Sus scrofa: one gene and its partner. The protein of the gene in region 2 interacts with the protein of the main gene of each other region in a pairwise test. Links are inferred from orthologs where the notes say so. Each region holds a gene or a part of one and is shown on either strand. Other genes may lie near its edges. The genes, in order: MAD2L1 and INSR.

Region 1 (4,594 bases), on a different chromosome or scaffold from region 2:
AACCAGTAACTTAGACATGGCTTGCTAAACAAGGTTTGCTTTTCCACCAAATTAAGGTGAAGATATAGATTCATAGTTGCCTAGAGGTTCCATGCCAAATAATTTGCAGCCCTATGAATGATTATGGGAGATTTAGCCCTGAAACTACTTGAAACAAAAAAAGATTTATTAATTTTAAAATTAAAAACAACATGGAAGCACCTAAATGTCTACCGGCAGAGGAATGGATAAAGAAGACATGGTACATACATATACTGGAATATTCCTCAGCCATAAAAAAAAATAATGGCATTTGCAGCAACATGGATGGACCTAGAAACTATCATACTAGGTGAAGTTTGTAAGACAGTGAGACACCAATGTCATATGCTATCACTTATATGGGGAATCTAAAAAAAGGATACAGTGAACTTCTTTGCGGAAGAGATACTGACTCAGACTTTCAAAAACTTACGGTTTCCAAGAAGACACGTTGGGGGTTGGGGGATGGGCTGGGGGTTTGGGATGGAAATGCTGTAAAATTGGGTTGTGATGATTGTTGTACAACTATAAATGTAATAAAATTCATTGAGTTAAAAAAATCAAGCTGCTTGAAACAAAAAAGATTCATTTAAAATTAAAAACATGGAAGCAACATAAATGTCCACTGACAGAGGAATGGATAAAGAAGATGTGGTACATATATACAATGGAATATTACTCAGCCATAAAAAAGAATGAAATAATGCCATTTGCAGCAACATGGATGGACCTAGAGATTATCATACTAAGTGAAGTTAGTGAAAGACAAACATGATAGCACTTAATGTGGAATCTTAAAAAAAAAAAAAAAATACAAATGAAGTTATTTGCAGAACAGAGACTTTGAAAAACTTATGGTAACCAAAGGGGAGAAGTGGGGGAAGAGGGATGGGGTGGGGGATTGATTTGGGATTGGCATATGCACACTGAGGTATATGGAATGCTTGCCCAATAGGGACCTGCTGTATAGTACAGGGAACTCCACCAAACAGTCTGTGATGGGCTACATGGGAAAGAAATCTGAAGAAGAATGCATGTGTATACATGTATAACTGAATCACTGTGTTGTACAGCAGAAATTATTACAACATTGTAAATCAACTATACCTCAGTAAAAACTTAAAAAAAAAATAAATAAAGATGAGGGCTGTAGTGTTTTTTAGAACTTTGGAAGATCAATGTGTGGATATGGAAAAATATCCTACAACACAGAAAAATTAGAAATGAGAACCCTAGGTGGAGACAAACATGAAAGAGAAACTAGAAATTTTAGAAGAAAGAAGAGGAATAGATGGAGAACAAGTATTAATTAAACAATACTGACACTTCTTGAGCTAAAAGGAAAAAATAAGTATTCAGACTCACATGTAGGATTTAAGACAAGACAATGGAAACAGGTGAAAAGTAAGAAAATTCTAATGGTGCTCTGTTATTTGGTAGTTGTTCTTTTTAAAGTTTAGTCCCCAGGTTGAATTCAGTTTTGCTTCCTTCATCTTAATGATGGCTTTAGACTCCATGCAGCTACAAATATATATATAGTGGATTTTTCTCAGATAATGAACACCAATATAATTATGTAAAATTCCAACATGTTCCATTTGGTCACATAAACTGCAACACTCATTTCTAAAGGAGTTGATGGGAATTGTTTCATTAAGCCGTATCGCGTTCCTAACATGAAAATATTCAGCCCACTCAAAATGGGGTAAAGATGGGACTTCTTTTTGATTTATTTTCTTCCTCCCAGTTATTTCACTATATTTGAGATGGTAGTGTGTTTTACACCACCAGGTATACAGATGAAAAATGACCAGCAAGCTGCTAGAAAATGGATCCTAGAATGCTGGCAAAACTCAAAACTGTTTCCAACAATGAAATACCTTTTAGTTGTTCCACCACATTATTTAGGTATTTTATGAGCTCAGGATCAGTAGTTACAAGCAAGGTAAGTCCGTATTTCTGTACTCGAGTAAAGGTTTCAGATGGATATATGCCACGCTGATATAAAATGCTGTTGATGCCAAACGCTGAAAACAAAAGAAATGTTAAAAGTCATTTTCATTTTGTAATTCTGAGAAATAAAACATATTTAGTCATGTGGCTATGGTTTCATTAATGGTGTAAAGCTGTAAATGTTTAAACACGCGTTTGTGTTTTGCTCAAAGGTACAAAGTGAAATTAAAAAGCTTTAAAATTTTGCTTCTAAACAAAAAAGTGGTATCTGCATTTAAGTGGCAATAAAAGAAACATGGCAAACTGCATTTATCTACCAGTGCCAAATTTCATTTCATTGTAAAACAATTCTAAATTCAGACTTTATGGTTAGAGGATGTCAAAAGAAGCAACTGAGTCGTCCAACGCCCAGGCAATCCTCTCCTTTTTTTCCTCCTTTTCTTCTCACAAGTCCTGCCAGGTTCTATCAGAAGGTGCAACTGGCCTGGTCCAGAAGAACGCCTCCCCAAGTCTAGCCCATTACCGTCAATCCTGATTCACCTCGGGGTGGGTATGGGGTTTGCTCCCGGCTAAGCGGTTATATCGCCAGGCAGGCCTCAGCAGAACCTAGGCCGCCTCCTCCACCATTAGCAACGCATCCGGAAGAGGCGCCTGCATCCGCCTCTTCCAGATCCCTCCTGCCTGGCAGTACGCTGAGACTGAGAGGGCTCGGATTCGCGTCCGCTCTGACCCAATGGGTTCTCCCCGCCACCGTACCGAGCCGCGGGCCTACTTGGCGGCCTGGGCACAGTTCTCCCCGCTCTCCGGCCTGCGCGAGAAGGACTTACAGAAGAACTCCGCCACGATTTCGGCGCTCCCGCGCAGGGTAATGCCTTGCTCCCGGGAGAGCTGCAGCGCCATGGCCAGGCCCACGGATGAAGAGACGCGCTTTCACGCGGCAACCAGCCACACCAGTGACTTCCAGAGTAGTTCCCCGCCACCGGTTTCAAAAGTAACGACGCAGGACGCCGTCGACTCTTTCGCGCAGGCGCAACGAGCCTTTAGGCCCCGCCCTTACACCACGGGGTCTGGCTTGTTTTCTCCTTCCTCGCGTAGCCGCTCTTCGCGCCTGCGCAGTGGGTGGACGTGCTCACGCTGTTGAGTCGTTGCGTCGCGGTGGGTTCCTTGTGGAACTCCTGCGGTAGTTGGTTGGCTAGCTGGGGGCTTGCGGCAAAGACGGTATATCGCGGTTTTAGTGGCCGCGCCTTGAGTCTTCAGGCAGAAGGGGTAAGGAGCACAACTCCTGAGTTTGAAAGATATTTTGAAAATGCTCCGATCTGTCTGCTAGCTGTACCTTAAGTAGCCCCAGTGATTCTTAGTGGGCGGGCGGAACTCCTCAGATGCTTTGGGAGTTTCTAAAGCTACTGCGTGCGCACCACAGTTTTATTAGAGACCCTGATTACTTGTGGGCGCGCGGCTTTTCCTGAGAAATTGGTTTAGGGATTAAAGGGATGAACTGCGTCCATTCTTCTTTCCCTTGTCTGTTCTGGGCAAAGCTCACGTCTACTCCTCACCCCGACCCTCTGCTAGGCTCAGTCTGGGGGCAGCCTGAGGCTGTCTCTGATGGTCCAGCTTGCACTCTGCACCCCGCCATCCTTCGGCGACTGGTCAGGAGTAAGGTCACTTCACCAAAAAGGCCTTTCAACACTGAAGAACTTTTCCGTGAATTTTGAATTTTATTGTTAGGATGAGAAGTACTAAAGAGATAGCGCGCAACTAATGTGCATGTCAGTTGTTTTGAAACAAGTTTATTCTTAAAGTGGGTAGAAAAAATGTAAAATGAAATCTGAAAAACTTAACCACCTTACATAATGTTATTTAATTGTATGAAAAAATGCCTGAGTGTATTAGTTTTCTATTGCTGCATAATAAATTACCACAAATGAGTGGCTTAAAACAACACCCATTTATTATCAGTCCTTCAGTCAGGAGCATGGCGTGGCATAGGTGAGTTCTCTACTGTAGTCTTCACAAGTTTGAAATAAGGGTATTTGTCTGCAAGTGGGATCTTACCTAAAATCAGGGGTCCTCTTCTGAGGCCCTTGGTTCTTGGTAGACTTAATATCCTTGTTCTTGGACTGATGTCCTCACTGGCTTGCCAGCTGTTGGCAGAGGCCAGTCTTGTGCTTTTGCCAGGTAGCCCTTCCATAAATCTCAGGCTTCCAGTCTCTGACTTCTGGGAGGTCCCTTTTAAAGGCTCAAGTGATTAGGTCAGACCCAGTCAGATAATTTCCTCTTTGATGAACTTAATCCTCAAAGTGATAACTCCTAATAATCACTACTCTGGCCACACTAAAGTGGAGGGATTCTATAGGATAGGCTCCCTGGAGGCCACAAATTTTGAGGACGCCCTTAGAACTCTGCCTATTCAGTGTTATATATCAAAACTTGATCAGTTTAAAGACTGAAACAGGTATAATATGTAATAAGTTGATTTGATCCAATAACATTTTCCTTACATCCTTTAGTTTCTGTGGTACAAGTGTGTGTGTGTTTAAATCACCGTCTTTTCATTCCTTCCACCAGGATTTTGGCTTCTGGCTGATAGAGCTTGATGCCCACCTTACTCCATGTAGAAATT
Region 2 (4,365 bases):
AGAAAAAAAGGGAGGAGGTATGGGGGGGCAGCATTTGCAAAGCATGGTCAAGGAAGGTTCACGGGAAAAAAAAAAAAAGAGGAAGGTTCATGGGAGCTGAGAGGTGGAGCCAGACCTTGGAGGTTCAAGCAGGGGGACCAGCCAGGGTAAAGGCCTGGAGGCAGGAGTAGGTGTGGGTTAGAAGGACAGTGCAAACTTCTATTTGTTTAATAGAGAAAGAATGAACACGCTCAACCAAGAGTGATGCTGGTGGCTTTCTCGTGCTTCCCCCCGCCCCAGCAACTCCCCACATCTGCCACGCAGGTATTATTACAGGCATCTTCCTGGTGAGGCCAATCCAGAGAGCAGTTACTCATTGGAGACCACACTGGAAGTGAAGGCAGAGGGAGCCTGATTCCCACTCCATTAGGAACGTCCCCTCTCCCCTCTCCAGCAAGGTGCTTTGATCACTATCATACCGAATTCGTGAATGACTTTTGCCAGACATTCAAAACACACGTGGACTCTAGGTCTGTGTACTGAAAATTGGGTGTGTCTACCTGTGCTTTAGCCAAGATCTCCAGCGCCTGCTTTGTATTTTGTCGAGGTTCTGGACATCGCCTCAAGGGTCAGTTCTCCAACTTGAATCACAGGCCGAGCCGGAGAGTGCCTGCCCACTGAGTACTTTGAGCTCCTGGGGCGAGCTTGCACGTGGCTGTCCCCAGGGGCCTGGTGTGGGGCAGGGGCGAGCTCCCCGTAGGACAGCTGGGGCGCCCGCGCGCGCTCTGGGACCAGCTTCCCCGAGCAGGACGGGAACGAGGGCGAGGCGAGCGTAACATTTAAAGGAGTACCCAAAAACCGTGGAGCCAAGATAAATAATATTTTAATGCATTTTTTTTAAACATCAAAACGAATCCTCCAAAGTCTACGGTGAACAAAATAGCAAAACGTTACTCGCGGGATAGGGCATCTGCAGCGCCCCCAGGCTCTGAGACGAGAGTCGCGGGGCTGTACGGGGCGCTCCGGCTGGGCAGGGACCTGGGGCGCCCCCTCGGCTAGGGCGCGCCGGGGGCCTCCAGCGCGGGGCCCTCCTGCGCGGGGCCCAGGATAGGGAGGCTGGCTGGCGGGCGGGCGGGCGGGGTGGTGCCTCCGCCCCCCGGCCCGTCCTCCCTCCACCCCTCTCGGGCCTCTCCCCGGCGCCGAGTCCCTTCCGAGTCCGGATCCGCGCCGTCTTTTGCGGCGGCCCGCACGGGGCCCAGCTGACGGGCCGCGTTGTTTACGGGCCGAGCAGCCCTCGCTCCCGCCGCCCGCCCGCCACCCGCCAGCCCAGGTGCCCGCCCGCCTGTCCGCACGTCCGTTTGTCTGCGCGTCCGTTTGTTGGCGCGTCCGAAGACCTCAGCCCCCGAGCGCTCGGGGCCGAGAGCCGGGAGGCAGGGGCGCAGCGCGGGGCTCCGAGCCCTGAGATCGCGGGACGGGGCCCGGCCGCGGTGGCCCGGAGTCGGGGCCGCCTCCACCGGGCCGCGCCACCGGATTTGTAGCGGCAGAGGCCGCGCTCCCCTCCTGGGGCTGTTTCGAGGGCCCTCCCGGGGCTGTTTGAGGGCCCTCCCGGGCGGAGTCTGTGGCCAGTGGTCCGCCGGCGTAGAAGAGAAGGACGTGCGGCCCCAAGTGCCTCTCGGGCGGCCGCTTTGGAGCATGCACCCCGCGGGCCAGCGCCGCGCGCTCTGATCCTCCCGGACCCCGCGCTCCCACAGCTATGGGCGCTGGGGGCAGGCGGGGGGCGGCGGCCCTGCCGCTGCTGGTGGCCGTTGCCGCGCTGCTGGTGAGCGCCGCGGGCCACCTGTACCCTGGAGAGGGTGAGTCTGGGGGTCTGGGAGTGGGCGGGAAGCAGCGCGTTGGGGAGGGGACCCTTTGCCAAAATGGAACCCCCGCTGTGGCCTGAGAACCCTCCTCTGTGGGAGGGCTGGTAGCCGGGACAGTCGCTCCAGCTCCGCGGCGGGGAGGGGGGGCTCGGGAAGCCGCTGACCTTGGCCTTTGCCCGCCCGGGCTCGCAGCTCCACGCCCCGCGTGCGGGCACCGGGCTGGAGGAACCTTGCCCCAGTGCCTGCCTCTCCGCGGGCCCCTCTGCGGAGCGCTCCTCGAACCCGTGCCTGGACCTCCAGGAGCCCAACTGGCTCCGGAGACGGCCACGCGTCCTCTCTGGGTCGCCTCCCAGAAGTGGAGGGTCACTGGATAGCCTCAGGCAGCCAAATGCCCGGGACGCACACGGTTTGGAGCCAGAGTGGAGAGTGACCGACTTGGGGTGGGGGGGCCCCTTGGGGGTCCCAGCTGGTAGGTGATGCGACCCAGGGCCGGTAATTGTAGCATCTACCCCTTTCTTCCTGGTGTCTGTAGACTCAGGGCTACTCCTGACTTCAGGTCCGTGTTTCCACTTTTGGGTTCTGTTTCCAGATGTCGGGAGGCAAACTCTAGCGCCTTGGCAACAGCACAGTTGCAGTGGCAGAATGGTGTTGCTTTTATGATTCTTCTGGTTAGTGTCACCAGATGCCTCTGGCTGGTGGGTATTACCTCCCTGGACCCCTGAAGCGAGCCCCTCGAGGCTGATACTGTTGTTAGTCCATTTCACAGAGGAATAAACTGAGGCTCAGGGAGGATACTAACTCCCTGGCCCCAAAGTCAGTGCCAGAGGGAGGACTTGAACCTCTCCAGTGACTCTGGCCCAAGGCTCTGTACTGCTGCCTATGCCCCATGTCTCTGATAACCTCCTTCTTCCAGCTCTGCCCTTTTACCTGTCAACCCCCTGGGGGTCTCTAAGCTGTGGTCAGCCAAGCCCCAGGAGCTTGGCTCCTGGGTGTCCTTGGATGGGCAGCCTGCCAAGACAAACCCCAGCATCTTTCTTGAGCTTGAAGGCAGGTCTGCGGGTCAAGGACAGGAGAAACGTGTAAGAGAATATAGCTGAGGTTTCATACCACGTATGGCTGAGGTCCTGCTTTCAAGCTCTTTGTTGGGTTACTTCTTCAGATTTCTCCATAAAAGGAAATCAGTCGTGATGAGGAAGGGGTCAGGGAGGGAAAGAGCAGAAGCTCCTGAGTTCCCTGACCATGGGTGAGGTGATGAGAAAGTACACGCAGGGTTGTGAGTTGACAAACCGGGTTTGCTGAGCACCTTGGCCAATTAGGCAATGTCTCCAGGCACTCGAGTGCGTGGTATACAGTGGGTGTTCTGTGAAGGGAGGGTGGCAGTTGGTTTGAGTTCTTGTTAAAAATAAGAAACTCAAGACCCGTTGTTAGACCTATGTCAGGTTTTGTGTATGTGTGGTTCCCTGCTCCTCTGTTCCTTGTAGCTTTGGTAATTCATTGTGGATTTGTGCCTAGGCTTTCAAGGGTTACTACATAGATTTACCACTTCTTACATGTTTACATTTTCCACAAGGGTAGAGGCTTATGTTTCTTTTGCTCACTGCTACCTTTCCATAGCCTAGGAGGTGTTTGATAAATATCTGTTCTTCTTTTTTTTTTGGCCACACCCTCAGCATATGGAAGTTGCCACTGCCAGGAATTGAATCCTAGCCGCAGCTTCGGCAACCCCAGATCCTTTAACCCACTTCGCTGGGCTGGGGATTGAACCCACACCTCTGCAGCCTCCTAAGCTGCTGCAATGCGATTGTTAACCCACTGCGCCACAGCAGGAATTCCTGTTCTTTTTAATATTTCCTTTTTTAATTTTTTTTTTTTTTTTTTTTTTTTTTTTTTTTTTGCCACAGTATCCAGTGGCTTGATGTGGGATCTTAGCTCAGGGATTGAACCTGGACCGCAACAGTGAAAGTGCCGAGTCCTACCCACTAGACCACCAGGGAACTCCCTTATAAATATTTGTCCTTCACTCCTATCCTTCCTGGTCTTGCCAGTAATCCAAGTCATCGCTCCTTAATGCTCTAGATAACACCTAACTCACAAGAAGAGGAGTAAACACTCTGCGGGTGCTATTCTGAGCACTTTACGTATGTAATCTAAGTCGTTTCCTCACCGCTGTGCTGTGGGATAAGGTTCATTGTCTCTTTCAAAGGTGAGGAGATGTGATGAGGTGGCAGAGCTGAGATTCAAACTGCAGCTCATCTAGCTGCAGAGCACCTGTTTCTTAATTAAAGTGTCTTCTTTTGGATCTGACCCTTCGCACTCCAACCCGGTGGTCAAGGTTAACGGAATATGATGGAATAAATGACACGTGATGTCCTTTGGAGGTTTGGGGCGGACAGGGGAAACTTTACAAATGGTTAATCCCCAACATCAGCTGGTACGGCAGTTTGGCTGGGTGGAAGGAAATCAGTGGGATTTTTAAGGAATGAGGAGCCTCTCGGAGACATCACGTGGGATGTACCACCCCCACCGT

Evidence for each region.
Region 1: the proteins of INSR (region 2) and MAD2L1 interact in binary tests that used the Homo sapiens proteins (3 or more experiments, as listed by UniProt). The link is inferred for Sus scrofa from reciprocal best matches to the Homo sapiens genes INSR and MAD2L1.

What each region holds. Positions count from the first base shown.
Region 1 is NC_010450.4:103,925,850-103,930,443, reverse strand, and holds the start of MAD2L1 (mitotic spindle assembly checkpoint protein MAD2A), read right to left. Parts: upstream 3,087-4,594; 5' UTR 2,875-3,086; coding exon 2,802-2,874; intron 2,049-2,801; coding exon 1,902-2,048; intron 1-1,901. UniProt on the Homo sapiens protein: Component of the spindle-assembly checkpoint that prevents the onset of anaphase until all chromosomes are properly aligned at the metaphase plate.
Region 2 is NC_010444.4:71,795,947-71,800,311, forward strand, and holds the start of INSR (insulin receptor), read left to right. Parts: upstream 1-1,262; 5' UTR 1,263-1,732; coding exon 1,733-1,832; intron 1,833-4,365. UniProt on the Homo sapiens protein: Receptor tyrosine kinase which mediates the pleiotropic actions of insulin.